Neurospora crassa OR74A: one gene and its partner. The protein of the gene in region 1 binds, or shares a complex with, the protein of each later gene. Links are inferred from orthologs where the notes say so. Each region holds a gene or a part of one and is shown on either strand. Other genes may lie near its edges.

The links. The genes of interacting proteins can lie anywhere in the genome.
Region 2: the proteins of cya-4 (region 1) and cox-6 are in contact, whole or in part, in a cryo-EM structure (PDB 8C8Q), measured with the Schizosaccharomyces pombe proteins. The link is inferred for Neurospora crassa OR74A from reciprocal best matches to the Schizosaccharomyces pombe genes cox5 and cox6. Residues at the interface, in NP_588158.2 of Schizosaccharomyces pombe: Gln74, Lys75, Gln76, Pro77, Trp78, Thr79, Ile83, Lys86, Lys87, Ala89, Tyr90, Ala93, Phe94, Arg100; in NP_593931.1 of Schizosaccharomyces pombe: Ala90, Arg91, Asn94, Asp95, Phe96, Pro97, Thr98, Ala99, Val100, Arg101, Glu104, Glu129, Leu130, Gly131, Ile132, Val133, Lys135, Leu138, Phe139.

Annotation. Positions count from the first base shown.
Region 1 is NC_026502.1:1,656,439-1,659,811, forward strand, and holds cya-4 (cytochrome c oxidase subunit IV), read right to left. Parts: upstream 1,860-3,373; 5' UTR 1,719-1,859; coding exon 1,484-1,718; intron 1,086-1,483; coding exon 892-1,085; intron 824-891; coding exon 737-823; 3' UTR 548-736; downstream 1-547. Other genes in the region: NCU16537 (hypothetical protein), read right to left, coding at 2,658-2,718, 2,782-2,845, 2,907-2,967. UniProt on the Schizosaccharomyces pombe protein: Component of the cytochrome c oxidase, the last enzyme in the mitochondrial electron transport chain which drives oxidative phosphorylation.
Region 2 is NC_026505.1:4,304,011-4,307,861, reverse strand, and holds cox-6 (cytochrome c oxidase polypeptide VI, variant), read right to left. Parts: upstream 2,310-3,851; 5' UTR 2,173-2,309; exon of another isoform or gene 2,059-2,172; 5' UTR 2,034-2,058; coding exon 1,873-2,033; intron 1,657-1,872; coding exon 1,611-1,656; intron 1,449-1,610; coding exon 1,331-1,448; intron 1,151-1,330; coding exon 1,029-1,150; 3' UTR 585-1,028; downstream 1-584. Other genes in the region: NCU06696 (hypothetical protein), read left to right, coding at 1-24. UniProt on the Schizosaccharomyces pombe protein: Component of the cytochrome c oxidase, the last enzyme in the mitochondrial electron transport chain which drives oxidative phosphorylation.

The sequences.
Region 1 (3,373 bases):
CTGAAATCAATCCAGCAACTTCATGGATGACGGTTGGTCACGAGGGGACAGCCGCAGCAGGCAAAAACATCAGGACGAAGAAAGAGCATCTGGATGAGGCAGGACTATGAGTGGCGTTCTCGTCCCGAAGGCCCGGATGTGAAATCATCGCCCGTAACTCTTATCCGAAGTACGGGCTACCGAGTGAGATACGGCTGGGTGCTGGGAGCAGGGTAGCTTACCCCTTTTTCGGCCATGTCAAGTAAACAAACAAACAAACAAACAAACAGTGTCATTTCTTACTAGCAGCGAAACACCTAGCAGGGATCAAGAGACGTCATCCTGAAAAGGTGCTAGGCGCCTTAAAAGCTCGGAAGCTTCTTTCCGCGTGTGACGATGCTACTCCCTCAAAATCCTCAAATACCTCGTTTCATCTTGATATCCAGGAGCTTGGCCTCACTGCCCGAATCTAGCTATCCCCATCCGCTCACTCTTCTCTACCAAGTTCCATATCTCCCTAAACCCCCATGACCCCCATTTACACCGGACAACAAAACGAACGCGCCGGCTAAAGGAAATGATAATGCATTGTCAGCTGTACAGTATTTACACACCAACCCAAGTGTTAAGCGCCCCAAAGCATTCCAATGCCACCACTGTCCTTTCCCCCGATCCTCACAGACTCGTTTGACATGGCCGATATCCGAGAGAACGAAGGATGAGTCTACCCCTGAGCACCAATAAAAGTATGCGAAACTTATGCGCTGGCAGAGGGAGACTGAACGTGGCCCTTGCCGTTGTAGCCTTCGGAGGTGAGACCAGTGAGGGGGTCGGACTTCTGGGCCTGTTTGTTGGTGATATATGTGTTAGTTGATCTGGTTGCCAACAAAGAGCCGATATGAGCCGACGCACCTTGAGGAACTCGTTGGTAGCCTCTTGCCACTCCTTGGTCATGGTGGCAGGAGGGGGCTTGGCGAAGGCGCGCATGGTAGCGAAGATGACGAAAGAGAGGAAGACACCGGCGACAGTGTAGGCCAAGACCTTCTTCTGCTCGCCGGGAGGGGGGAGAGCGCGGGGGCCGTGGGGACCGAAGGCGATGTAGTAGGCTGCGTTGAGAGAGAGTACATGTCAGTCTTTCTGTGGTCTGGGCCTGCGTGTCTCTTGAGACGACCTTGATGGCTGTCATGGTGCGGTTTGTCGTCGGAGCTTCCCTCCTCTTCTCCTCCAATGTAGCGCACCATTACTCCCTCAGCCTTCTCCCAGCGTCCCCCAACAACCCATCAATCAACCGATAACCTCTAGGCCGACAAGATCCATTTCCGCCCAACGATCCCAAAGCTGTCCGGGAGCTCGTGAAGCTTGTTTGAAGCTCGGGGTTGTCGCAGAGTGAGGGTGACGGGGGGGAGCTTCAAGGCGGGCGTTGGTGATGCAACTAGCTCGGAGCTTGGACGGTCGAGCTCCACCCGGCATTTCGCCAACCTTCAACCTTCCACTTCTCACTTACCAGCCTTCTTCTCCTGGAGGGTAAGGTCGGCCCAGTTGCCCTTCATGCGGTCGCGGAGAGCCATCCAGAGCTCGGCCTGCTCCTGCATGGGCATCTGCTCCCATCTCTTCTCAATGTTGGCAAGCGTGGGGTTGGAGATGGGCATGGTGGAAGCGGCGCGGACGGCCATGGTGGGCTTGGCGGCGCGAACGGCGACGTTGCGCACGAGGGCCGAGACGGTAGGAGTGCGAAGCATGGTGGCGGCGGATTGTCGGCTGACAGAGATTAGGAAGTTGAGGAGGATTCGAAGTCGGGGGTGGAGATGGATCCAATTGAGTCGCCCGCGTGCGTGGTCGGAGGCCTGGAGCTCGATCGTCGACGGTGATTTTGTGCGAGGAGTGAAGTCATGCAAAGGACGAGCTTTTTTTTGGGCGAACGGGATTCGCAGGTAGGCGAAACGGGGATGCGGCCTCAGCTCGGAACTCGAGGAATGCCTGGGATGGCCTGATGCCCACTTTGCTCACCCCGAACGCAGTGCCCGCCAGTGAAAACACCCCCAAACCAGAGCGCTATGAGACTCGCTGTCACAGTTTACCTAGCTTGGGGCCCCGTATCTTCCCGGGAGCCAACTCACGGCAGGCTGACCAGGGCCGCCTGGCAAGTGGTGAACGGGCAGCTTTTGCGTGTCTGGCGCTCAGAAACGGAGCCCCTCACCTGGCAATTCCACACTCTTGACAGCTGGCACGGACCGCCTTCAGTTTCCACACCATGGACGTTTTGTCCTTGGGCTGACTGGAGTGTCCATTGTTCATTGTTGACTTTTGGATGACGACGATTCGATTCTCTGGCAGCTGAAAAACGGAACTCACATGCCAGACGTCACTGTCTCACAAAGTTTATTGTTTGCTTGTCCGGAGTGGGAGACACGACAGGGTCTTTAGACAGATTAAAGCCTTGCAGAGAGATATTTCATGTCATGTTATCCGCAATGAGTACAGTAAACGCGGCAGAACGAAAATGAAGCCTTGGATGCTTCGTTTCAAACGAATTGCTGTCATGAGTTTCGAGAAAACAAAAAGAGGGACAGCTATGCACCGACATATCCCTCCAAATATATATATATAACTCATGCCTTGGTCGATGGTATGATCACGATACCTAGTTGTTACTCTACTCCATGCTAGCATCCTACATCTCATTCTCTTTTCTCCCACTCTTGCTTCCTAATCTCATATGGAGAGGGCTTGGCCGGGGGACTGGTGTCATGTTAGTCTATCCAGTCTTAACCGCACTTGATTGTTTCAAGCTCATCTTCTCACCCAAGGTTTAGGCCTTCACGCTTCTCCTTCTCCGCCCGGAGACTGGGGGCAAATGTGTAGTATCCTGCAGAGACGTCAGACTTTATTCTTCCAATCACAAGCACATGCAACCAAAGAGCCCGGACCATTCACGATGCCAAAGGTTACTACCAAACCAATGGTGATGATCTTTTTGCCGTTGAGCATCTTGACTTTTTGTTGCTGTTGTTGATTTTTTTATGTCTTGGCTGATGATCGCCACTCAGTTGACCGGATTGAATATCAGCTTCGATAGTATATTCGATCTGGACCTTCACTCAGTTCGAGAACACTTCAGCGTTTCGTTGGGTCCGTCCCTGTAAACGGCAACAACGGTGCTGTACAGGGCAGTACTGTACTGTAGTGTAGCATAATCTGCACAGCTCCATTCCGCCGCCCGCCCGGATGCCATGTGCACTGTCTGTTTAACCCCGGTCCAGTGCATGCAAGCAATGACGCGGAGGCAATTGGAAATCATTAAACACAGCTAAGTAGCGCACAGACCACATTTTCTCCGACGGCGCGTCTCCCAGTGTTTGTGGACGCGTCTCAACCTTGAAAGCACTGCACGTTG
Region 2 (3,851 bases), on another chromosome or scaffold:
CGGTGGGGGCACCTCCGTGATTAGGGCAAGACGAATAGGAGTTAGAACCGAACCTGGGGGTCGGAGAGCGAGATCGTTGGGTGCTTGAGAGAAGGAAAGAATGGCTCGGCTGTCGGTCGATGACTGCAGCTGTTTTCCTGGTTCGTGACCAAGGACCGAGACAAAGACAACGATTAAGATGGCTTCAGGTCAGCTTTCCTTATGTCCCTGTCAACGGTGGAATGGTTGGTGAAACGATTGTTTGCTTATTGCTTGTTACCTATTGGTCTTTTTCTTCTTCTTCTTTCTCTCCAGCCGGTAGGAATATCTTTTCACAATACCCATCTCCCTATCTTACATCTTACGGTTCATTAGATCGATTGTTTTCATTTTCTTTTGTATGGTTCAAGGTACTCAGGTTGCATTTGAGGATCGAGGGATGCACATGAAAGAGGTTGAGGCACTCGGCGCATTGGGGTTACCTTTTTCTAGATACTTACTCTACCTGCTATGGATAAAGGCAATAGAATCCAGGTAGAACCAGGCATGACAATCGTGAATCTGGTCAATCTCTTATGACGAATGGTAACCAGCATCCAGCTTTTGTAAAATCTATGGTAAACTCATTACTGCCTTTCGAATACATCTATTTTGCTGCTCTCTACGATCATGGCATGGGATATTCATCGTCCAAACACAATCCGTGACACAACCAACTGTTATCGTATCCAACTCGACAAACAGGTTGAACTCGTTCGATTCCTCTCTCTAAGGCCCTCTTGGATATACTACGCCCTTACTTCCTGCAATAGGAGTTCTCTAGGCAAAGAAACATGTATGGTACCAGGGAATTAGCGTTGAGTGCGCTCTCCTATTCATAGGTTCCAAGCACACACGCTACGCTTTCCCCTTCCACAAACTCCCCCTCCTCTCGCCACAATACTCTCATATCCCCTCTTTTCAAACTTCCAAAGATTCTGGGAGAATAATTGATGGGTCGTTGGAATGGTGATTCTCATGGCATCTTCTAAGTTACGTTGGTCCTAAATTTAGTTGGCCTCCTCGGGGTAGAGGTCCTCCTTGAGGGTGATGCCGAGCTCCTCACGAAGAGGCTTGAGCTCAGCGAGGTACTGCTCGTACTGGCCCTTGTTCTCAACCTTGGCCTTGATGCCTGTTATGACGGAAGCCCGTTGTCAGCATGGTTCTGGTTCCTAAAAGACCGTTTTGCTGTTCCCTATCCACCCGAGCTTATCGGACACCTTGGTATTGACGCATAGGCTGGTCGTCGATGGCTACGATGTGTGCGGGTTTCGGTGGCGGCAGTGATGGATGTTAGGACGGGGGCTCTTACCCTCGAAGACGCGGACAGCGGTGGGGAAGTCGTTGACGCGGCGGGCAGCCTTGAGAGCGGCGGCGAGAACGGAGGGGGAAGGGACGAGATCGTAAGCGAAAGCGTTGTTCAGGTTGCGCTAATTTCGGTATGCCAGCGTCAGTCTCACAGTCTCTTCCTTCCCTTGCCCCTACCCAACAAGTTGAATCATTGTTGTCCCTTGATCGATAATGCAAAAGGTGCGTCGTCGAGTAGGCCGTGAGAGTCGAAGTGGGACGGGAGCATGGAAGGTGGTGCATACCTGAAGCTCGAAAACATCCTGAACGGCATCAAACTCCTTCTCGTAGCTGTTGGAAAAGGCGCAAGTTAGGAATTGGGGAGTTCTCGAGGGCGCATGGAGGTGTTGATGGGGTGGCCCTGGCTGAGGCTGAGGGGAGGAGAGTCGGAGGCATCACGTCATAGTGAAGCCGAGCTAGGATAGGCAGGTAGCTAGCTCGGGCCTGGGACCTCCGGGGCTCGGAGAGGTAGCAGCTTCCCGGCCGGGCTGCCGGGGCAAAACTCACCGGGCAGTGAACTCCTCGAAGGTCTCCTCGTGGTGCTCGGAGCGGAAGCGGCTGGAGGTGCTGAAAAGGCTGACGCGGGCGGCGATGGGCTGGGGGCGGGCAACGGCGCGGAAGAGGCCGGCGGAGGGACCGCGGACGGCAGTGCGGAAGAAGGAGGCCATTGTGACGGAAGGACGGAGGGGGCTACTAGAAGATGAGAATTGAGAGCACACGGTAAGAAGCTGGAACTGCGAAGCGAGAAGACCGGGGGGGAAGAAAAGGCAAGGCGGTAATTGGCGGCGGAGACGGAGAAGCACGCACGTTACGTAGAGGGAGGTACGGTAGCTGAGATGATGGTCTCAATTAATGCTAACGAGGTTGAGGTTCGATGGTGTGCGACGTAAATGCTTGTTCAACCCAAGTGGAAGTCTCCGGTATTGCACTGCATCGGACCATTCGAATACTTCGGCTATGTCTTTTCCGGTTAGCTGACTAGCTGTGTTTTTTCCGCCCTCGAGGTACTTCTGGACAAGCCACTCGGTGGTCAGTGCACAAGCTCCCTAAGCTCACCTTTCCAATTCGTACATGAGCTTGGTATGCAATTGAACAGACAACAGCCCACTTTTCCGCACCAGTAGTGGCTGAAGTGGCTGAAACATTTCTTTAACTTCATAATGAGGCTGATGTCGAAGCAACAGAACGTGGGGTACCTATAACGCCTTCCTGCAGCGAGCCGGATAAATCGACTGTGTGCTCAGATGAATCCGCTGTGTGGAGCCCATACAAACTGACAGCCAAGACCCAAAGCTTGGCATCTCTCGCGCCAAACTTTCGCGATCGCAAGTCATCACCAAAATATCATTGTCTCGACAACGACAACGAAAGCTCAAAACGACTTTTTCTAAAGCGTTGAACTCTCATTTATATGCGGGGGCCTCTCACCGGCCCCCTGCACCCCCGGAACTAACCCTAACACCTAACCCTAACCACTAACCCTAACACTAACCTTGGGGGTAGCCCGCGAATTGCTATACAGTCGATTTATCCATCCAACACAGTCGATTTATCCGATCCGTCCTGCAGCGATGATGCAACCAGTGCGTGTTGCTCATGTCGGTCTTTCACACAATGAAGTGGTGTCTGTTGTTGCGGACATTCACTTCAACTCATCATCGTGTTGACCTTGATATCCCTCACTTTTTTTCTTAGACAATTCCCAGGATTGGGAACATTTGAACCGGCAAGCGCTGGAGATTTACGGATCAACCTATTTATCATCGGAAGAAATTGACTGCCAACCGAATGTTTTGACCGGCACATGGTCTCGTCATCTCAGGATTCACGGCTTGTACACTCGTGTATTTGTGGGTGGATGAATGATGGGCTGATCGAAAGCCAGTATGTAGTTCGGAGAGAGTAGAAAACGCGTCTTGTAGTATTGGTGGGTTGGGGTTGTTGAACAGGCGAGAGCCGCGAAACCTCAAAAAAATGGACTCGATTGAATCATTGAACAAACCGAATTTGTATACCCGCTGGTCAATGTCTTACCGTAGCACTGGGCCACCCCAGGTTGTGAGCTCAATCGCTGGAGGGCAAGCCATTCACCTTCTCTTATACGCACCGTTGGTTCGGGCTCGCCTGGGTGTTTGAACGTCCTCGTATCAATTTCCACGATATCTCTTCCTGATAACCAAGTTGTGAACGTCCTGCACTAGCTACTTCCCCAAACCTCGGCATGGACTCTACACTACTCGTTTGATCAAGAGTTAGCCCGTTGCGGCCCGACAGTTGACGCTCTGCATGATGAACGAGGTATCCGATGTAGGGGGTTGTAGCTATTTGGTGGACCTTGAACGGCCTAGAAGACTGCCCCCAAGTCTCGAGTCAATCATCGATCTCATCCGTGTTTCAACGGGCATGTTGATTTTTGGTAGGACCGACCCTTTTCGATGGAGCCCGCGTTGAGTCGCACCGGAACACTCACGAGATACGATTGATGA